Oryctolagus cuniculus: one gene and its partner. The protein of the gene in region 1 interacts with the protein of each later gene in a biochemical or structural test. Links are inferred from orthologs where the notes say so. Each region holds a gene or a part of one and is shown in the gene's direction. Other genes may lie near its edges. The genes, in order: NUP85 and NUP43.

Region 1 (11,236 bases):
TGGTGGAAACACCCAAGCCTGGGTCATGCTGAAGCCAGAAGCAAAAAACTAAAGAACTCCATCCTTGGGCTGGTGCCGCGGCTCACTAGGTTAATCCTCCGCCTGTGGTGCCAGCACACCGGGTTCTAGTCCCGGTCGGGGCACCAGATTCTGTCCCGGTTGCCCCTCTTACAGGCCAGCTCTCTGATATGGCCCGGGAGTGCAGTGGAGGATGGACCAAGTCCTTGGGCCCTGCACCCACACTGGAGACCAGAAGCACCTGGCTCCTGCCTTTGGATTGGCGCGGTGTGTCGGCTGCCAGAGCGGCCATTGGGGAGTGAACCAACGGAAAAGGAAGGCCTTTCTCTCTCTCCTCTTTGTAACTCTACCTCTCAAATAAAATCTTAAAAAAAAAAAAAAAAAAAAAAAAAAAAAGAAGAAGAAGAACTCCATCCTGGTCTCCCACATAGTAGCAGGGGCCCAAGTACTTGGGCCATAATCCACTGCCTTCCCGGGCACATTAGCAAGAAGTTGGATTGGAAGCGGAGTGGCTAGGACTCAAACTGGCACCCCCGTTATGGGATGCTGCTCTGGTAAGCTGTAGTTTAATCCACTGTGTGACAATGGCATCACCAACATCATTTCTAAAAGGGGCAGAAGAACAGAACCGCAGAGTCTGTTTAGAGCTTTAGACCCTTGCCAAAAACCCCGAGAAACACATAAGACATTTATGATGCAGATGGCTAAATGGTGCATGCTATATGCCACCAAATTTCCTTCCAGCGGTAACAGAGTTGAGAACTTGAACTGTCTTCATGAATGCTGCAGTAGTCAATACTGAATTCCTCAACACTGCACGACACCGGCAGCAAAACAATGATGTTGTAGAAACCTTCCAACTTAACACTTTGGGTCACGGCAAACCAGTATCAGCAGTTGATGCAAAAAATCTGGGATACGGGTCTTTAAATGTGTCAGGTTGTAAGGAAATATTGTGTCACTTCACAATGTCATACATTCAGTGAACACTGATACACACATCGAATAAAACGTTAAATTCCCTCACTATTGATATACATATTGCACACACATCTTAGAGAGTGATCATTTGTGGGCAGTATCATTACATCTTTTTTTTTTTTAATATTTATTTATTTACTTGAGAGGCAGAGTTGCAGACAGAGAGAGGAAGAGAAAGGGCTTCCATCCAGTGTTTCACTCCCCAAATGGCAATAATGGCCGGAGCCCTGGGCCAATCCGAAGCCAGGAGCTTCTTCCAGGTCTCCCATGTGGGTACAAAGGCCTAAGCACTTGGACCATATCTACTGCTTTCCCAGGCCATCAGCAGGGAGCTGGATCAGAAATGGAGCAGCTGGCAGTAGAACCGGCAACCATATGGGATGCCAGTGCTGCAGGTGGCGGCTTTACCCACTATGCCACACTGCCAGCCCTATCTTTCATCTTTGTAGTCTCAGCAAATAATAGAGATTTGCGAGCTGGAGGTCAGTCAATATTCATGGACTTGTGGAGGCAGTGCTAACTTGGTCATACTTTTCGTGAGAATACCCAAAACTGCCTTCCAGCTAGGGTTCCGAATGCCCGTCCGTCACACAGCCTCTGTGTGGAGATGGCGATGGCAGGTCCTCCTAGCCCGTTATGCTCCAACTCCGCTCTGTCCATGGCCGTAAACACTGGAACGAGGTCCAGTCACTTGAGGCTGTTTTGTAAAATGAACACAAACAAAATAAGCTAAGCTACATTTTGCAGCATTTTGCCCAATACAGATGTTATCCTTCCTCCCCACGCTTCTGCTGGGATTGGTTACTGTCACTCCAGCGTGGGGGAGACAGAGTTGGAAGGATGGTTCTCAAAGGGTGGTTCCTTGGATAAAGAGACTTTACTTGGGAAATCTTTCTCTTTTTTTTAAAGAATTTTATTTATTTTGGGGTCTGCATTGTGGTATAGTGGGTAAAACAGCCATCTGAGACATCACATCCCATATGGGCCCTGGTTCATGGCCTGGGAAAGGTAGCAGAGGATGGCCCAAGTGTTTGGGCCCTTGCCACCCACATGGGAGATCTGGAAGAAACTCCTGGCTCCTGGCTTCCACCTGGTCCAGCTCTGGCTGTTGGGTCCATCTGGAGAGTGAACCAGCAGATGGAGGACCTCTCTCTCTCTCTCTCCCCCTCTCTATAACTCTGCCTTTCAGATATTTATTTATTTTATTTTTCAGGGATTTAGGCCATTTTCCACTGCTTTCCAGGTGCATTAGCAGGGAACTGGATCAGAAGTGGAGCAACCAGGACTCAAACTGGCAGAGGGTTGACCTACTGTGCTTCAACGGGAGCCACCTGGTTCGGGAAATCTTTAGAAATGCAAATATGCGGCCGGCGCCGCGGCTCACTAGGCTAATCCTCCACCTAGCGGCGCCGGCACACCGGGTTCTAGTCCTGGTCGGGGCGCCGGATTCTGTCCCGGTTGCCCCTCTTCCAGGCCAGCCCTCTGCTGTGGCCAGGGAGTGCAGTGGAGGATGGCCCAGGTGCTTGGGCCCTGCACCCCATGGGAGACCAGGAAAAGCACCTGGCTCCTGGCTCCTGCCATCGGATCAGCGCGGTGCGCCGGCCGCAGCGCGCCGGCCGCGGCGGCCATTGGAGGGTGAACCAACGGCAAAGGAAGACCTTTCTCTCTGTCTCTCTCTCTCACTGTCCACTCTGCCTGTAAAAAAAAAAAAAAAAAAAAAAAAATGCAAATATGCAGGCCCTGCCCCAGACCTACTGATTTAGAAGCTGTTTTTAAGGATTTATTTGTTTGACTCTCTCTGACTCTCCCTTCTCTGTCACTCTACCTTTCAAATCAATAAATCTTTTTTAAAAAGTTGGAAATTTTAGGGGACCGGCTCTGTGGCATAGCAGGTGAAGCCAACGTCTGCAGTGCTGGCATCCCACATGGGCAAAGGTTGAGTACCGGCTGCTGCACTTCTGATCCAGCTCTCTGCTGTGGCTTGGGAAAGCAGTAGAAGATATCCTTGGGCCCCTGCGCCCACGTGAGAGACCTGGAGGAGGCTCCTGGCTCCTGGCTTCGGATTGGTGCAGCTCCAGCTGATGTGGCCAACTGGGGAGTGAACCAGCAGATGGAAGACCTCTCTCTCTCTGCCTCTCCTCTCTCTGTGTAACTCTGACTTTCAAACAGAATAATAATTAAAAAAAAAAAAGTTAGACATTTTAAAACCTCTTGAAGGATTTTTCCATGTGCTTTTCATTCTTCATGTTTCTTTTTAAATAGCTAACAATATCTTTAAAATATTTATTTAGCTATGACTCTATGACTGGGCTCTCAATACAGATGATTTTGCCCCTAGTGGAAGTTAGCAATGTCTGAAGATATTTTTGGTTGTCACCACTGTTTTTTTTTTTTTTTTTAAGATTTATTTATTTGAAAGTCAGAGTTACACAGAGAAGGAGAGGCAGAGAGAGAGAGAGAGAGAGAGAGAAAGAAAGAGAGAGAGGTGTTTTCCATCCGCTGGTTCACTCCCCAAATGGCCGCAACTGCCAGAGCTATGCCGAGCTGAAGCCAGGAGCTAGGAGCTTCTTCCAGGTCTCCCACGTGGGTGCAGGGGCCCAAGGACTTGGGCCATCTTCTACTGCTTTTCCCAGGCCATGAACCGGGGCCCACAGCTGGGACTCAAACTGGCACCCATATGGGATGCTGGCACTGCATAGTGGCTTTACCCACTATGTCACAGTGCCGGCTCTAATTTTTTAACTTTTAAAAACGTGTTTGTGGGGCCAGAGCTGTGGCGCAGCAGGTGGGTTAACATCCTGGCTTGAGGCGTCAGCATCCCATATGGACAAAGGTTCAAGACCCTGTGGCTCCACTTCCAATCCAGCTCTCTGCTATGGCCTGGGAAAGCAGTGGAAGATGGCCCAAGTCCTTGGGCCTCTGCACCTGCATGGAAGACCCGGAAGAAGCTCCTGGCTCCTGGCTTCGGCTCGGCACAGCTCTAGCAGTTGCAGCCAATTGGGAAGTGAACCAGCAGATGGAAGACCTCTCTCTCTCTCTGCCTCTCCTCTCTCTAACACTGACTTTCAAATAAAATAAATAAATCTTTTTTTAAAAAAAGTATTTGTAGGCCGGCGCCGCGGCTCACTAGGCTAATCCTCCGCCTAGCGGCGCCGGCACACCGGGTTCTAGTCCCGGGCGGGGCGCCGCATTCTGTCCCAGTTGCCCCTCTTCCAGGCCAGCTCTCTGCTGTGGCCAGGAAGTGCAGTGGAGGATGGCCCAGGTGCTTGGGCCCTGCACCCCATGGGAGACCAGGAAAAGCACCTGGCTCCTGGCTCCTGCCATCGGATCAGCGCGGTGCGCCGGCCGCGGCGGCCATTGGAGGGTGAACCAACGGCAAAGGAAGACCTTTCTCTCTGTCTCTCTCTCTCACTGTCCACTCTGCCTGTCAAAAAAAAAAAAAAAAAAAAAAAAAAAAGTATTTGTTTGCTAGGCAGAGAGGAAGGAGCCAGAAAGATGGAGAAAGAGAGCTCCCACCCAACAAACAGTTCACAGCTCCAGTGTCCATGATGTCTCTGGTTTGGGCCTGTGCTGACGGGGATGCCAGGACCCAGGAACTGGGTAGCCCCATCCAAGTCCCCGTGTGGACGCCAGGATCCAAGCACTTGAGCCATTACTGCTGCCCCTCATGGTCTGGGCCAGCAAGAGGCGAGTCAGGAACCGAGGGGTGCAGAACCAGCTACTCCGACACGGGACGCAGGCGTCCTGACTGCCAGGGAAAACGCCTGCCCTACTTTGAAAATGTTATCTGCTACTCAGTGTTTAGTGTCTTTTTGGAAACAGTAGGCAGCTTTGAACCCCTTAGGTCAGGGGTGGGGAACACTGGCCTGTGGGCCGTGTAAAGCCCCTAAGTCACTTGGTCTGGGCCTGCCGAGGGCACCGGGCGTAGGACTTGAAGTTCAATAGGTGTGTAGCAGGCACTTTTGAAAAAAAAAAGTATTTATTTATTTGAATGCAGAGACCCAGAGAGGAGGGAGAGAGAGAGAATGCATCTTCCATCTGTTGGTTCACTCCCCAAACGGCAGCAATGGGCAGGGGCTGGGTCACGCTGAAGCGGGGAGCCAGGAGCTCCAGCTGGGTCCCCGACGTGGGTGCAGGGGCCCAAGGACTTCCGCTGCTTTTAGCAGGGAGCTGGATGGGAAGTGGAGCAGCCGGGACTCGAACCCGCGCTCCCCGACAAGGACACACAGCTGGGCGCCAGGACAGACTCCCAGTTCCGGCAGGGACAGGCGCGTTCGGCCCAGGGGACGCCCTGCTACAGCCTTTCGGGCCAGATTCCTCCCGCGCTGAGCTGCTTCCTAAGACTTCCAAGTCGCGAGTTTGAGTTCGCCCAGGTGGCCGAGGGGGAGCGGAGCCCGGCGCCACCGTCCCTCCATGTGTCACTCCGAAAACACCTGCTGCAGGTCACTGGAGCCCCTCTCTCCTGCGCCAGGGGCGTCACGGACGCGCGCGCCGCTTCGCACAGAACCAGCATCAACAGGCGTCCACTCCTCGCGGCCGGTTTAGACGCCATCAATTAGGTCCGCGCGCCTCTCGCGCTCCGGAGAGGCAATGGCGGCGACAGCTTCCTAACGTACGCCCTTTGGATCGCCGGGGCTCGGAGACGCTGTTGTGCGGACGCCACGCAGCGCAGACGGGGGAGCCAGGGCCGCCACCGTGGGCACTGACCCCGGCCACCGCCCGGCGACACCCACCCGAGTCCGCGCGTGCGCAGGCGCACTGCCGTCCGCCCCGCGGTCTCTCCCGCCGTCTCCGGGGGCCTTCTCTCTGCCCGGCGCGGGGCTGTCCGCGGCGCTGCCTGACCGGGCGAGATCACGCCTGTGACTATAGGCTGCCCTCGCGCTGTCCTTCCCGGACGCTCTGCGGAGGCAGTGAAGGAGGGACGCATGGCGAGGGCGGCACAGGGGTGGGTCGTGGCTGAGAGGCGAGGCCTCGGCGGCGCCGCGGGGTTGGGCGGCAGGCGCAGCCGGGGGCGCCCGGGCGGGGTCCTCTCTCGCGGCAGGCTCCTGAGCGGGAGGCCCGAGCGGAGGAGCGTGTCGGCGGCGCGGCGCTATGGAGGAGCTGGATGGCGAGCCGACAGTCACTGTAAGGGAGCCCGGGACTGGCCTGCTTGCGCTCGCCGCCCCGGGACGGCGTCCGCTGGGTCATCTCAAGCTTGTCAGCGCGGCTCCCTGCCGGCCGCGCGGTGCCCAGCCCCTTCCTCGGCTCCGTTAGGAACTAGGGTGCAGCCGTGCTGTCGCCGTCCCACCCCTCTTTTTGTCTCCCTGACCCTACTGCCTTCGCATTTCCTCGTGGGCACGAGACTGGGCTCGGGCTGAGCAGAGGAGCTGGGGCTTCCCTGTTTGTCCTGAGTTTCTGCCTGCTAGTCAGTGCTAGCCCGAAGTTTAGTGAACGTATTTATTCTCTCGGGGACACTGTTTTTAACATCGCTGTGCGTTCAGTTCCGCTTGGACTCTCGAGTGTGTCAGGTGCGGATGATCGGCGGTAAAGCAGTTCCTGGGCTCTGCACAGGAGAAGCCCGCCGGTCTCGCGGCCCGCGATCTTTTCCCTTCCTTGACAAGAGTCAGCCCGTGACGGGCTCGCAGAGTTCCGCGTGTCTGGGTACCCTTCAGTTCCACTCATTTTCACGAAAGGTTCTGGACCTATCCGGAGCGGAGCGACAGAGAGAGAGAGAGGTGTTCCGTGGCTGCAGCAGCCGGGTTCGGGCCAGGCGCGAGCCCGGGGCCAGAGCTCCATGCTGCTGTCCCGGAAGGGTAGCAGGGGCCCGAGCGTGCGGGCTGCGCTGGGAGGAGCCCAGGTTGGAACCCGGTTCTCAGATGTGGGCTGCGGCCTCCCAGGTGGCGGTGAAACCCGCTGTGGCCCTGCAGAGCACCCTGATGAGGGCCCTGCGTCTCGTCTGGAGTCTGTGCGTGTGGTCTTGGAAGCAGGCAGACTCCTACCGTGCTTGCTTCGGGTCTTACGCGTCTTGCTCTACTGTGTGGTTAATTTTCGAGTGCGTGTGGAACACTTGCCCTTTGCCGGCCTGCTCATCCGTCAAGATTTGGCTAATCCGACTCTCTCCCGTGTGCCTGTACCTTTGGCTTCTGTCTGCCTGCTGTTTATTGCTCTTTTTTTGGTTTGTTTGAAGATTTATTGATTCACTTGAAAGTCAGGGTTACACAGAGAGAGAAGGAGAGGCAGAGAGAGAGAGAGAGGTCTTCCATCCGCTGGTTCACTCCCCAGTGGCTGCAACAGCTGGAGCTGCGCTGGTCTGAAGCCAGGAGCCAGGAGCTTCCTCCAGGTCTCCCACGTGGGTGCAGGGGCCCAAGGACTTGGGCCATCTTCCACTGCTCTCCCAGGGGACAGCAGGGAGCTGGGTCGGACGTGGAGCATCCGGGACTCGAACTGGCGCCCATGTGGGATGCTGGCACTGCAGGCAGCGGCTTTACCTGCTAGGCCACAGCGCCGCCCCCTATTGCTCTTCTTGTAAACTGCCCGCATTTGGAGGGGAGAGGCTTTTTCACGTTGTGTTCTTAGAGCCCAGCATTGCTTAGTTGTTCAGGGATTGCGTTAGGTCTTCCTGAGGCCCGAACTCGCTTGTCTTGAGACTAGGCCGTCGCTAGCCGAGTTCTGTGCGGCAGGGTCTCTGTAGGCAGTGCGTGAAGATCCTAAAGCCCCTGCCCTTGTGAGCGCCGTCTGTTTACAGGGCAAGTGATGGCCATGTGAGAGGATCACTCAGGGACTGAGAAGTGTCGTTCAGGGAGAGTTGCTGGTAGCCTCAGTTGGGCTGTAGACGTGGTGATCAGACTCGGGCTCCTGTCAGGGGCGGCCAGGACTTACCGCTGGGTCAGACACAGGTGGGAAGGCCGGAGCCGGAGCTGGGGTCACTCCTGCCGGCTGGAGACTGGGTGAGGTTTGGAGGTAAGGGTGAGGTTTGGAGGTAAGGGTGAGCCTCAGGGTTTCCCTCCTGGCTGCTGATCTGGGTTAGCTTGTAAGTCGATTTGTGAAGCCGAGGCGCAAAGGGCTTGGTCTGTTTCGGGGATAATTGTCTGGAGGCGCCAGCATAGCTGTGCGCAGGAGTAACGATTGGAAGTTCCTGTTCTTCAGAATCAGTTCAATTACTTAAAGATTTTAGGGGCTTGGGGCCAGTGCTGTGGCACAGTGGGTTAAGCCTCTGTCTGCAAGGCCAGCATCCCATTTGGGCACCAGTTCAAATCCTGGCTGCTCCACTTCTGATCCAGCTCCCTGCTGATGCACCTGGGAAAGCAGCAGAAGGTGGCTCAAGCATCTGGGCCCGTGCACCCACGCGGGAAAAAGCTCTTGGCTTTGGCTGTTGCAGCCATTTGGAGAGTGAACTAGTGGATGGATGATCTCTCTGTCTCTGTCTCTCCCTCTCTATCTGTAACTCTGACTTTTCTTTTCCTCTCCTCTCCTTTTTTTCTTTTTAAGAGTTACACAGAGAAAGGAGAGGCAGAGAGAGAGAGGGAGTTCTTCCATCCGATGGTTCACTCCCCAAATGGCCACAGCACCTGGAGCTGAGCCGATCCGAAGCCAGGAGCTTCTTCCAGGTCTCCCACTTGGGTGCAGGGGCCCAAGGACTTGGGCCATCTTCCACTGCTTTCCCAGGCCATGGTAGAGAGCTGGATCGGAAGTGGAGCAGCCAGGACTCGAACCAGTGCCCATGTGGGATGCCGGCGCTTCAGGGCATTAACCTGCTGCATCACAGCGCCAGCCCCAACTCTGACTTTCAAATAAATATTTTTAAAAAAATTTGGGGGCTGGCATTGTGGCACAGCCTGTGACACCAGTGTCTCATGAGTGCCAGTGCAAGTCCTGGCTACTCTGCTTTCCATCCATCCTCTGCTGATGTGCCTGGGGAAGCAGCAGATGATGGCTGTGCCACCCACATTGGGAGACCCTAATGGAGTTTCAGGCTCTTGGCTTGACCTGGCCCAGCCCTGGCCATTGTGGCCATTTGGAGAGTGAACCAGGGCCTGCTGCCTGCAGTGGTGGCATCCCATGTAGGCACCAGTTCAAGTCCTGGCTGCTCCACTTCCCATCCAGCTCTCTGCTATGGCCTGGGAAAGCAGTAGAAGATGGCCCAAGTCCTTGGGCCCCTGCACCTGCGTGGAGACCCGGAAGAAACTCCTAGCTTGAGATTGGTGCAGCTCCAGCCGTTGGGGCATTCTGGAGAGTGAAGCAGCAGATGGAAAACTCTCTCTCTCTCTCTCTCTCTCTCTCTCTCTCTCCTTTCTCTCTCTGTGTATTCTTTTTTTTTTTTTTTTTGACAGAGTGGACAGTGAGAGAGAGAGACAGAGAGAAAGGTCTTCCTTTTTTTTTTTTGACAGGCAGAGTGGACAGTGAGAGAGAGAGACAGAGAGAAAGGTCTTCCTTTGCCGTTGGTTCACCCTCCAATGGCCGCTGCGGCCGGCGCACTGCACTGATCTGAAGCTAGGAGCCAGGTGCTTCTCCTGGTCTCCCATGGGGTGCAGGGCCCAAGCACGTGGGCCATCCTCCACTGCACTCCCTGGCCACAGCAGAGGGCTGGCCTGGAAGAGGGGCAACTGGGACAGAATCCAGCGCCCCGACCGGGACTAGAACCTGGTGTGCTGGCGCCGGAGGCAGAGGATTAGCCTATTGAGCTACAGCGCCGGCCTGTACTCTGACTTTCTAATAAGTAAGTCTTTAAAAAAAAAAAAAAAAAAAAAAAGAGTGAGCCAGCAGATTATGATCTGTCTTTGCTTCTCTCTTTGTAACTTTTTTTAAAAATATTTATTTATTTTATTTGAAAGTCAGTGTTACACAATGAGAGAAGGAGAGGCAGAGAGAGAGAGATGTGTCTTCCATCCGCTGGTTCACTCCCCATATGGCTGCCACGGCTGGAGCTACGCCAATCCGAAGCCAGGAGCCAGGAGCTGCCTCTGGGTCTCCCACGCGGTGCAGGGGCCCAAGGTCTTGGGCGTCTTCCACTGCCTTCCCAGGCCACAGCAGAGAGTGGAGCAGCCAGGCCTTGAACCGGTGCCTATGTGGGATGCCAGCACTGCAGGCGGCGGCACAGTGCCGGCCCCTGTAGCTCTTTTAAATGAGCAAGTCTGAAATATTTTTACCTTCCCTTGTTCTAAACTGTAGACCATTACAGTGTATGCACTGGTTAGGGTGCAACCTTTCTGCTCGTTGACACTTGAGAGATGGCGGCCTGGGTGAGGCGCCCACCAGGCTGCCTCGCATGTCCAGGTGCTGCTAGTGACGGAACAGAACGGGCCCATCTCAGATTAGCACTTCCTAACTCTCATGTCTGCTCATATCTGTGATTGTACTTGTAAGTCTTTGTAAATTTTTCTCTAATTTTTGTAGCAGCTTTATTTGTAATTGCCCGAAGTTGGAAGCAACAAAGATGTCTTTCAGTAAAGAGTGTCTGGTATAACCCGACAGTGGAATACCATTCCGTGCCAAAAGAAATGAACTATACGACGTGAGAAGACTTGGAGGAAGCGTAAATGCTTATTCCTAAGTGGGCCGGCATGTGGCTCTGCAGGTTAAGCTGTGCCTGCAAAGCGTGCATCCCAGCCCTGTCTGTTGTGGCCGACTGGGGGAGTGAACCAGTGGAAGGAAGATCTCTCTCTGTCTCTCCTCTTCTCTCTGTAACTTTGCCTTTTAAATAAATAAAAAATAAATCTTAAAAAAAAAAAAAAAGTCAGAACATCACACTGCTGAGTGAAAGGAGCCGATCTGAAAAGGCATCTGTGGTATGAGTCTGACATTCCGGGAGAGGAGGGCTGTGGAGACAGATAAAAGATCTTTGCTGGGACTTCAAAGTCATTTAGAAAATATATTTATTTGAAAGGCAGAATTCCAGAGAGGGAGAGACTCATCTTCCATCTGCTGACTCACTCCCCAGAGCCAAGAGCCAGGAACTCCAGGCAGGTCTCCCATGTGGGTGTCAGGGGCTCAAGTACCTGGGCCATCGTCTGCCACCTCCCAGGTACGTTAGCATGAAGCTGGATCGGAAGGAGTTGGGGTGGGGGCCGGCGATGTGGCCTAGCTTGTAAGACTGCCCCTGTGAGCCAGCATCGTATGTGGGCGCTGGTTCAGGTCCCGGCTGCTCCACTTCTGATCCAGCTCCCTGCTAATGTGCCTGGGAAGGCAGCAGACGATAATCTTAAGTTCTTGGGCCCCTGCGCTCATGTAGGAGACCCTGAAGAAGCTCCTGGCTTCCATC
Region 2 (11,181 bases), on another chromosome or scaffold:
CTCTATTTCTGAAAAGACGCTGCTTGGGATGTTCACATCCCATATCAGAGTGTCTGGGTTCAAGCTCCAGCTCCACTTGTGATTCCATATTCGCGTTAATTAGCACCCTAGGGGGCAGCAGGTGATGGCTGAGGTATTTGGGTCCCTGCCATCTGGGTGGGAGGCCAGGACCACGTTTCCAGCTCCTGGCTTCCACCTGGGCAACCTCAGCTGCTGTGGACATGCAGAAAGTGAACAGCAGATGAAAGATCCTTGTTTCTCTCTCTCTCTCCCTCCCTTTCAAATAAAATGGAAATAGATGGTAAACAGAATGCCTTTAAAAACTTACAAAATCGTAAGACTCAGAAAGACCTTTAGAAATCTAGACTGCATTTAAATCAAATCTGATGATGAAATCCCTTCTACAATACTCCTTACAGGGAAATGGTCAACCATTCTTCAACATATTCAGTGACAGAAAACACTATTTTTCAAAGCTGACTCTGATTGTTAAGATAGCTTTGTGAATTCTTCCTTACAATGAACCAAAATTTGCCTTCTATTTGTCCTGGCTTGGGCCTATTTTTCATAACATTTCTTCAACTATTTAAACACCATTATTCCCTAAAGTCTTCTCTCCACTAAACCAAAGAAATCTCAATGGACTAGTATGCATTGTGGCCCAGTGGGTTAAGCCACCCCTTGCAATGTCAGCATTCCTCATGAGCCCCAGCTGCTCCACTTGCAATGCAGCTCCCTGCTAATGTGCCTGAGAAAGAAACAGAGAATGGCCCAAGTGCCTCCTCTCCTGCCATCCAAATGGGGAAACCCAGATGCAGTTCCAGGCTCCTGACTTTGGCCTGGCCCAGCCTCAGGGGCTATGGCCAGCTGGGGAGTGAACCAGCAGATAAAAGCTCGCTTTCTCCATCTCTCCTTGTCTCTCTGAAACTCTGCCTTTCAAACAAATTAATTACTTAAAAAAAAAAAAAAAAAGAACCTCAATCTCAGCAAAGCACCATATAAAATATTAATCCTCTCATTATCTTCAGCTTCCTAGTTTGATAATCTTAGGTTTTTCACTGCCACCCTTAATGTATGTCTGCCAAAGGTAAGTACAATTCTAATACAAATATCTGTAACGGTGCAATAGAAACTTTCTTCTCCTATAGACTAAGGTTACACTAAATGGAACGTAATACAATCAAGCATCTAGGTCTAGTACAGCCCAACAGAACTTTCTGTGATGGTAGATATCCTCTATATCTGCAATGTGCCACAGCTTCATGGGAATTTTTAGCTCTTGACATATGGCTAATATAACAGAAGAAATGAATTTTTAATTTTACTTAGTTATAATTAAAGTAGACACACATTGATATTAAAAAATCATACAAATATCAATGCACTGCAAGTTACTTGCTAGTATGTTTCCACACATAAATAAAAAAGAACTCTATTAGCTAGAATTACTTCAGCAAGAAGTTGAAACTAAAGTTGCACAAGTGTTACAAAAGAGACAGCAACTTGAATACTCCAGTTTCCTCTTACCAACCATCAGTCTTTATAAAACTAAGTATTTTCAATATCAACGATGGTAAATACTCCAAAATATATTTTCTGAAAGAAAGACATCCTGGGAAATTTCAGGTAAGAACAGTAATACAATACATTAAAGTGGGCAAAGATCTAGTCTTGGCTTACCAAAAAATCAGGCCAAAATGAAGAGACTGACTGATTACCAGTCCCTGCCACAGCCAGGAGTCCACTCTGATAATCTACAGGTTGAAAATGACTGACTCACCATTCATGTATAGACTGTTTCACATACGTATACTGCAATAGCAGTACTTTAATCACATGAAGAAATTTTATAAATATATTTACAACATATTGAGGTTATGTGCAATTACTTGGGAACCCAAGTCACACACACTGCCGCAATTACATAAATGTCTACTTCCAAACACCTGACCAGAAAGCAAACACTGGCAATGGGTGACAAAATTTTGACATCTAAACAATCTTTTTTGCTAAACATTAAAAACACAACTTTCAAGTATTGTTTTTAAAAGTCCGATGACAAATAAGTACTGACCATGTGCCAAACAGTGTTTCTCTCATTTATCTTTGCATTCCTAGCACAGATCAAAGCATCCACCCTATCTTCAAAACATTCATGGAAAATACCTATCGTAAATAACCTATGGGCGGGTTTCAAACAATTTTTGCACCAAAATAAACTCATCTTTTAATTCCGTTTTCCATGAACTTTTTGAAGTTCTCTAGTACACTGGACAATGAGTAGGTATTTGTGGTGGGGAAAAAAATGAATACTAAACTATTTTAGATGATTCAAAGATCACTTTTTAAAAAATGTTCCCAGCCTCCAAGGTGGTTCCAGATCCGGTCGAGCAGTAAGACAACCACACGAAAAAAAACTTAAAATAAAACACAGGACAATTAAAAATACTACGTGGCAGGATAAGATTATTTGCAAAGTTAGCTGCAAAGAAAGAGCTATCAATTCTTCCTAGAGTGAGATCCTTCTGGCCTCCCGAACAGACGCCGACACTATATTTCAATTTTAAAAAAAGAAAGTGACACAGCACTCCATCCCACCCTGAAATCATCATCAGAGGAAGGAATACAAAAACCAAAAGAGAATGGTGTGTGTGTGTGTGTGTGTATGTATGTGTGTGTGTATAAACTTCCATAGCAGGTTTTTAAAGCCTACGGTAGGGCTGAAAAAAGAGCATTCCATCCGTAAACCCTCTGGCTGGATCTGGGAGCTCTAAAGGCTCCGAAAACACAAGTCTCCCAGGACCAGCGTCCCCTGCACTCTGTCCCTCCGCCCCCCACGGAGCTTTCCACTGGACAGCAGCCCGCATTCGCACCCGCAGGACTCTCGCCTTCCCCCCCTCCGCTCGCCTGTATCAGACAGCGGCATCTCCCTCCAGAGGAAAACACGCAGGGCGGGGGAGGCGACCGCAGAGAAAGCTCGCAGGGAAGCCCCTCAAGGAGGCCGGGGGGCCAGCGTGGGGTCCCCCTCAGTTCCGACTCAGGTGCCCGGCCCGCATCTCCCCCACCCCGGAGTCACGCCCCTCGCCTGCCCGGCTGCGCTCGGATCGCCGACTCCAGACACAGCCCAGTCATCACCGGTGCGGCGCCCCCCGGCTCGCAGGAGCGCGGGGAGACCACCACCCCCGCCCCCGCCCCCGCCCCAGCAGCAGCAGCAGCAGCAGCAGCAGCGGGCCCCCACGCGCGCTCTCGCTGCCCGTCCGGCTACGGACCGCTCCAGGGGGAGGCGATCGCCGGCGCGTGCAGCCCGCGACTGCCGTTGCAACTCTGCCCAAGCCCTCCGACAGGCGCGGAGGCGGACGGGTGGCCGACCGAACGCTGCGGCCGGCCCGGGGGACCCGGTCCGGGCCTAGCCTGCCCCAACTGCCCCACACCGGGCGGGGGTGGCACTTACTGCGGAGATTGTGGATTAGCTCCGAGTGGCTGGCGCCGCCGGATTTCCAGGCCATCGCTAAGCACACTCGGAGCAGGTACAGAACCACCTTCAGCGCGGCGACGGTCCCCAACAGTTTCGCTAAGAGTGAGACCACCTCCCACACGGTCACCGCCCCGCTCGCGTCCCCGCTGTCGCCGCCGCTGCTACTGCCGTCGCCGCCGCTGCCGCTGCCGCCACTGCGCGCTCCCGGCATCCCCCGCGGCACGCATGCGCCCTGCGACGCCGCGCGGCCCTCGGGTGCGGCCGGGTGGGGCCGCAGGCGGGGGAGGCCTAGTGCCCCCGCCGCCGGTGCCAGTGGCCGCTGCGGCTGCCCTGGGGCCGCAGGGCGGCAGGGCTGAGTCAGCGCCGCCGCAGCCCCTGCGTGCCCCTTTCTGAGGCCTCGGGCTGTCCGCCGCCCTTGCCCTGCAGCCCTGGGGGTGGGGGCGGTCTCCTGCGCGGTCCGGGCGCCGGGCGCGGCGGCGGGATGACGGGGCCGATCTGTGCCGTGGCCGTTGGTGGCTCCGCAGTCGGCGCTGTGTCACCTGAGGCGAGCGGCGGGGCTGCTCCTATAGCGGTCCAGATTGTTAGACGGTGGGCTCCCTCCGTCCCGCCTCACCCAACCCCGTCGACTAATATTTGGGTCGATTAGAGTCAAGGCTGGAGTGACGGCGCCGAAATGATGCTCTTAATCGAGCCCCAAGGGCGAGGACCCTCTGCGACCCGAGAACACCAGCCTCCGGCTTTATGACAGGCGCACCCCTGTTTGGTTATGCAGAAACAGTGGGAGCCAGGGAGAAAAAACTGAGACTGGGGCGTGCGGTGAGGCGGGGATGCTTCGCTCCTTTAGAGCAAACGTAAAAAGCTGCAACCGGTGGAAAACGCCCCAGTGTCCTATGGTGAATGTGTGGTTCTCCCAACGCAAGTGTGCGTTGTCAGTAAACGGAGCCTCACGGATTCCGCTGTGAGGCTGGGCTCGAACCGTGCCCAAGCCCGGGATGGGGAAACTGCCTGTGGCGTCCAAGCTGCAGACTGCGAGCTAGCACGGAGTCTGACAGAATGCAGCCGTCGTTTAGGTCATTCGGTAAACGTTTAGGAAAGAAACAAAGCTGTGTCACCGCGTCTAAGCTCTTAGATCAGCAGCAGTTTTCAAGTTCTCGCGCTTACCAGGTTCTGTCGAATGTGACACTGTTCAAAAATACGCATGTCCTCTTGTCGGGGTTCTGTGGTCGTAAACGAGCCCACACGCAATTGTTCTTTCCGTGGATATATGATAGGAATGAAATTGTCGACTTGGGGCTCATCCGCTTCCCGGGCGCCCGTTCCGTCTCTCCGCAGACGGCTGGCGATCTTCGGCTGCAGAGCAGACCCTGGTAACTCTCACCGAAGCCGGCCGCGGCGGTTACGTTTCGTCCACTCCTTGCACAAACTGTCCCGGTGAAGTGGGACCCCCGACCTCGTAAACCGGCAGCCCGGCACGGCCCCCTTTAAAGAGACAACATATAGTTATGAATACAGCGGTGTAAGAGAGTTGCCAAGGTGGAATAAATCATACCTCTTGGAATCAGTAGGATTTCCACGCTAAGGAGCTTTGGAAAAGGAAACCAGAAACGGGGCAAAATGCGTGCTCTTAGTGATGCAGATACGAAACGTTCTGTTTTATTCTCCTCCTCATCCTCCGCTGAGGCCGTCAGGGAAAGGGTGAAGGGTGGACAGGATTCTGAGAGGAGGAGTGGAAAGGTATTTTAGCCATAACCAAAGGCACTAAAGGAACCCGCAGCACTCATGCCCCAGGCTGTGGACGTTAGGTATCACAAAATCCGTTCTTAATTATGTAATGGAAGTGGAGCCGGTGTTGTGGCACAGTGGTTTTAGCCGCCGATTTGCGTCCTGGCTGTTCCCAGCTTTGACCTGACCCAGCCCTGGCCTAAGCCACCATTTGGGGAGTGAGCCAGCGGATGGAAGAGCTCCCTCTGTGTGTGTGTCTCTCCCTCTCTCTGCAACTCTGCCTTTGAAATAAATCTTTTCTTAAAAAATTACGTATGTAAGTGAGTTGACCAAGGTTACAGTTAGGTAACCTTAGGTAACTGGCAGCAGAACTAAAACTGGAGTCAAAGGTTTAGGATAATAAATTCGTACTTTATTGGAAATAGTGCCATGAAGATTGAAGGATTTTGAGTTGTTTGCTATGCATAGTGACAAGCAGCTGATGTGCCTGCAAGGTGGTTTCCCACGCAGTGATTTTGTTCTTAAGTTATTGCACAAGCACGTTGTCTCCATGTTCCTCCTCTGCATTTGCATGTCGGGTGCAGATCCCACTGCACATAGGCCGGGGCACTCTTGGTTTTGCTCAAAGCCACCTCGCTGATCATGGGCGCCTCAGACCCCTCCTGGTCCGGGCCCGGCAGTGCCTGCACCGCCTTCCGCTGGGAATTGGCCCTTCGCGGCCGCCGTCGCCCGGCGAGCTCCCATCCAATCAGAGCTCCGCGGGAAGGGGCGGAACCCGGAGGCGCGCGGCGCGCGGCTGGCTGTGCCTGCTGCTGTTGCTTTCAGCATGGAGGAGCTGTATGCCAAGTTTGTGTCTGAGAAAATCAGCAAAACCCGCTGGCGGCCGGTGCCTCCGGGGAGCCTGCAGACCGCCGAGACCTTTGCCACGGGCTCTTGGGACAATGAGGTACCCTGGCTCCGGGGCGGGACCCCGGGGCTCCGTCCTCTCCCACGCCCAGGTGCCCTGGAGCGCGCGACTTTCCATCCTCCCCGGCCCCGGGTCCGGGGGCTCGGCTGCAGCCAGCGTGGGTGTGCCCGAGCCCCCGTCTTCTTGTTTCACATTCTGCCCATGCCGTGTGAGATGCTTTGGAGCCCAGGTTGCCTTAAGGCGATACGCATTGGGTTTACTTTCCAGAGTTGACGGTTCTGTCATCTCAAGATGAAGCCGTTTGCTTTACAGGAGAATCACGTTTCACTGTGGTCTATCGGAGATTTCGGAAACCCGGACTCTGATGGAAGCCTGGAAGGAGACCATCGACTGTTGTGCGATATCAAACACCATGGTGACGTCATGGACTTACAGGTAAACGCGTCCAGTGCCCAGAGGCTCGCTTCTAAAGAAAGCCAGAGCAGTGCATTTAGAGTGCAGAGACCTGAGAGCTCTCCTGGCCTCACCCCTAGTTTACAGGAAAGCGAGTTCTCCATAGGTTAGGATTTACCCAACGTAGACTGATCACTTAGTGGCACAACCTCCCAGCTGCAAGCGATTTTTTTATTTTATTATTATTATTTTTTTTTTGACAGGCAAAGTTAGTGAGAGAGACAGGTCTTCCTTCCGTTGGTTCACCCCTCAAATGGCCACCTCGGACGGCGCTGCACCGATCCGAAGCCAGGAGCCAGGTGCCTCCTCCTGGTCTCCCATGCGGGTGCAGGGCCCAAGCACTTGGGCCATCCTCCACTGCCTTTCCGGGCCACAGCAGAGAGCTGGACTGCAAGAGGAGCAACCGGGACAGAATCCGGCGCCCCAGCCGGGACTAGAACCCGGTGTGCCGGCGCCGCAGGCGGAGGATTAGCCTATTGAGCTGCGGTGCCGGCCTGCAAGTGATATTTTTGGAGTTTTACATAAGACCGTTTAATTCTAATTACATGTCTGTGAGTCAGTATTGTTATTTCTATTTTGCCCGTGAGAATGCTAAGAATATTATCTTTCGAGCACACACTGCTAAGGATCTCAAAGTTCATGGAAAATGCATATTATAGATAAACTATGCATGGGCTTTTAAAAATTTTGCACTAGAATGCATTATCTTTTAATTTCATTTTCCATAAACTTCTTGAATTATCCTCATTTGTGACAAATACTGTGCAGGGTAGGTCTTTTAAATTTTTTGATTTCTCATAACCCACCCTGAGTAGGATTAGTACTCCCTGTTTAAAAATACAGATTTTTAAAAATTTACTTATTTGAGAGGTAGAGTTAGAGACAGAGAGAAAGTTCTCGATCTGCTGGTTCACTCCCCAAATGGCTGCAATGGCCATAACTGGGCTGATCTGAAGCCAGGAGCTTCTTCCCAGTCTCCCATGCGGGTGCAGGGGTCCAAGGACTTGGGCCATCCTCTACTGCTTTCTCAGACCATAGCAGAGGGCCGGGTCAGAAGAGGAGCAGCCAGGATGGAAACCAGGGTGCGTGTGAGATGTTGGCCCTGCAGGCGGAAGCTTAGCCTATTGTACCACAGCAGTGGCCTCAGGGAAATTTCTTTTTTAATGTATTTGTTAGAGCTCCCATCAACTGGCTCATTCACCAAAGCCTGCGTCAATCAGGAGCCAAGAGCCAGGAACTCAGTCCAGGTCTCCCATGTGGGTAGCATGGACCCAATTACTTGAGTCATTACCATTGCTTTGCAGGACCTGCGTTAACAGGAAGCTGAAATAAGGAGCCAGAACTGGGTGTTGAACACAGGCATTCTGAACTTGGGCATCTCAACCCAACATCATAGCAAGCCAAATGCCCACCACATTCCAAGGCTTAGAGAATTTAACTTGGCCAACCATTTATTCCTCATGAAAATACCTTTATTTGTATAGCAATGTTAACTTTTAGATCTAACAAATGTTATTTGGGTAGCACTTACAGGCTTTTTACCTTTTACAGTTACGTAATTTGCTATAAATTCAGTTAAACAACGGGTTTCCTCCCTACTAGTTTTTCTGAATCTATAATAAGCAGGAATTTTTCTGTTTAGTTTTTTGACCAGGAAAGAATTGTAGCTGCTTCATCAACAGGATGTGTAACAATTTTCCTTCACCATCCAAATAACCAGGTAAAGAACTTTGGTTTGAAAAGTGAATTTGTATTTTAGTTATTTTTAGAAAGGTGTAAGGAAAACCGTATTTAATAGTTTTAAAGCCTTACGATATGAAGGGGGGGAAAATATCATTACTTTTTGCGAATGTAATTCTAGAACCATGTTTTTGTGAGTTGTTTGTTTGTTTGTTTGTTTGTTTTTGAAAGAGAATTACAGAGAAAGGAGGGGAAAGACAGAAACAGAAAGGTCTTCCTTCCACTGGTTCATTTCTCAGTGGCTGCATCAGCCAGGGGTGGGCCAGACCAAAGCCAGAAGTCAGGAGTTTCTTCCAGGTCTCCTGCTTGGGTGCAGGGGCTCAAGCACTTGGGCCATCCTCTACTGCTTTCCCAGGCCATTAGCAGGGAGCTAAATGGGAAGTGAAGCAGCCAGGACTTGAACCATTGCCCATATGAGATGCCGGCATTGTAGGTGGTGGCTTTACCTGCTACGCCACAGCGCCAGCCCTGTGAGCTGTTATTGAAATTGGGTAAACCTGCAATGCATTCTGTTAGTTTGGATGAAGCAATATGGTAATTTGGCAGGTAATTTTCCATAATTCTTTAAGTTCCTATTCTAGTCTTTTGAAGAAAGAGCCTCTTTTAGCTCAGATACTGTAGCAGAGAACAGGATCGGCTGTCTTGCCTCTGTGGATAGAACTCAGGTCTGCAATTGAAGCCAGCATCTGCTGTATGAAGACATGACTTATTTTTCAGTACTTTCTTGTGTGCTAAAGCCCATCAGGCCCAGCCTGCAGAACCTACTGGTGCAGGCAGTTCCTTAAAACAGCCCCACCAGTAATAACGCAGTTTGAAGTTGCTGGAGGAGAGTGTTCATTTAGGTTTTAAGGTTAAATGCCACCTTACTTACAGGCATGCCTAATAAACATAAGACCCAGATCTCATTAAGTATTTTTCTTAATGGAGTCACTTATGAGAGACTGTAGCGATTTATTTATTAGATGTACTCATTCCCATAAAAATTTAGTTGTTTTTGAACATTCAACTACCTCTTACCTAAAAACAATTATGTTAGTTTGAGATAAATGTGGAACATTGTTAGACCACATTCGTTTTCAGCCTAGTTCAGTGTGCACAGAGCTTTGGCAGTAATTGAGTATCAATACTGTAAAGGAGAAAGGAGAGTTTTGTTTTGTTTTGTTTTTGTTTTGTTTTTTAGATTTGTTTATCTATTTGAGAGGCAGAGTTACAGACAGAGGAAGAGACAGAGAAAGAGGTCTTCCATCTGCTGGTTCACTCCCCAAATGGCTGCGATGGCTAGAGCTGGGCCAGTCCAAAGCCAGGAGCTTCTTCCAGGTCTCCCACATGGGTTCAGGAGCCCAAACACTTGGGCTATCTTCTGCTGCGTTCCCAGGCCATTACCAGGTAGCTGGATCAGAAGTGTAGTAGCCAGGACTCAAACCAGCATCCATATGGGGTGCCAGCACAGCAGGCTGATACTTAACCTACTATGCCATAGCACCATCCCCAAGAGTTATTCTTTTAAAAAGAAGGTGTGAGGTAGGATTTAAAAATACTCTTGTTGGGGGAAAGCACTAGTTCCCTAGAGCTTTCTTTGATTAATATAGTGTGCTCATTTCTGATGCCTAGACTCTATCAGTCAGCCAGCAGTGGACAACAGCTCACTACCACACGGGTCCTGGCAGCCCTTCCTACTGCAGTGCACCTTGCACAGGGGTTGTGTGCGACAACCCAGAAATTGTCACAGTTGGAGAAGACGGTCGCATAAATCTCTTCAGAGCGGATCATAAGGAAGCTGTGAGAACTATAGGTAAGAAAAATCATTACGTGTCTTTCCTCTGTACATAGCAAGTATGCATGTGCCATATGCTAAATAAATAAGGCTAAGTGAGGGTTAAAAATGTACAAGGCCTTTGTCAAAACTGTGTTGATGAGGCTAGTAAGAGACTGACCACAGAGAAGAAGGAGGGTTGACAATTTCGTCTAGGTTTTAGACCATAAGTAATACTAAAAGATGACATACCAGGCAAAAGGAGTAGTATGGAAGCAGGATACAGTTAAACAGCTATTGACAAAAATGTAGCCGGACCTGACTTTAGGTATTTGTCTAAGAGAGACAAATGATGAATCCAGAAAGGTAAATGGGACCAGGTTGTAAAGATTCTCTAATGCTAAACCACTGGGGTTACGTTTTCAGGTGGAAAACTGGAGAGCCATCGAAAGTGTTTAAGCAAGGGAGTGATAACACTCCATGTCATGCTTTTGAAGAGTAGTTCTAAGGTGGTGGTCTTCAGCCATGCCTCACACAAACTCGCCTGGGGTATTTCTTTTTTTTTTTTTTTTTTTTTTTTTTTTTTTTTTTTTTTTGACAGGCAGAGTGGACAGTGAGAGAGAGAGACAGAGAGAAAGGTCTTCCTTTGCCGTTGGTTCACCCTCCAATGGCCGCCGCGGCCGGCGCGCTGCGGCCGGCGCACCGCGCTGATCCGATGGCAGGAGCCAGGAGCCAGGTGCTTTTCCTGGTCTCCCATGGGGTGCAGGGCCCAAGCACCTGGGCCATCCTCCACTGCACTCCCTAGCCACAGCAGAGGGCTGGCCTGGAAGAGGGGCAACCGGGACAGAATCCGGCGCCCCGACCGGGACTAGAACCCGGTGTGCCGGCGCCGCTAGGCGGAGGATTAGCCTAGTGAGCCGCGGCGCCGGCCTCGCCTGGGGTATTTCTAACCATCACGCTAGATCTCTTGGGTCATAATCCCTAGGGACTGAGCCCAGGCATCGGGTGTTACTTATGGATTTTACTTCTGAAATACATGACTTGTGTGATTGTTAAGAACCGCTGCCTGATGGCAATGAAGAGGAGTGGTACAAAACTAACACCTGTAAGTGTATGTTAAGTTACGCAGTG

Evidence for each region.
Region 2: the proteins of NUP85 (region 1) and NUP43 form a complex in vitro, tested with the Homo sapiens proteins (2 studies listed by BioGRID). The link is inferred for Oryctolagus cuniculus from reciprocal best matches to the Homo sapiens genes NUP85 and NUP43.

Annotation. Positions count from the first base shown.
Region 1 is NC_091448.1:5,328,904-5,340,139, reverse strand, and holds the start of NUP85 (nuclear pore complex protein Nup85), read left to right. Parts: upstream 1-5,965; 5' UTR 5,966-6,090; coding exon 6,091-6,123; exon of another isoform or gene 6,124-6,506; intron 6,507-11,236. UniProt on the Homo sapiens protein: Essential component of the nuclear pore complex (NPC) that seems to be required for NPC assembly and maintenance. As part of the NPC Nup107-160 subcomplex plays a role in RNA export and in tethering NUP96/Nup98 and NUP153 to the nucleus.
Region 2 is NC_091436.1:18,263,558-18,274,738, forward strand, and holds the start of NUP43 (nucleoporin Nup43), read left to right. Parts: upstream 1-5,952; 5' UTR 5,953-6,023; coding exon 6,024-6,143; intron 6,144-6,416; coding exon 6,417-6,539; intron 6,540-8,199; coding exon 8,200-8,277; intron 8,278-9,908; coding exon 9,909-10,089; intron 10,090-11,181. Other genes in the region: PCMT1 (protein-L-isoaspartate(D-aspartate) O-methyltransferase), read right to left, coding at 3,452-3,686. UniProt on the Homo sapiens protein: Component of the Nup107-160 subcomplex of the nuclear pore complex (NPC). The Nup107-160 subcomplex is required for the assembly of a functional NPC.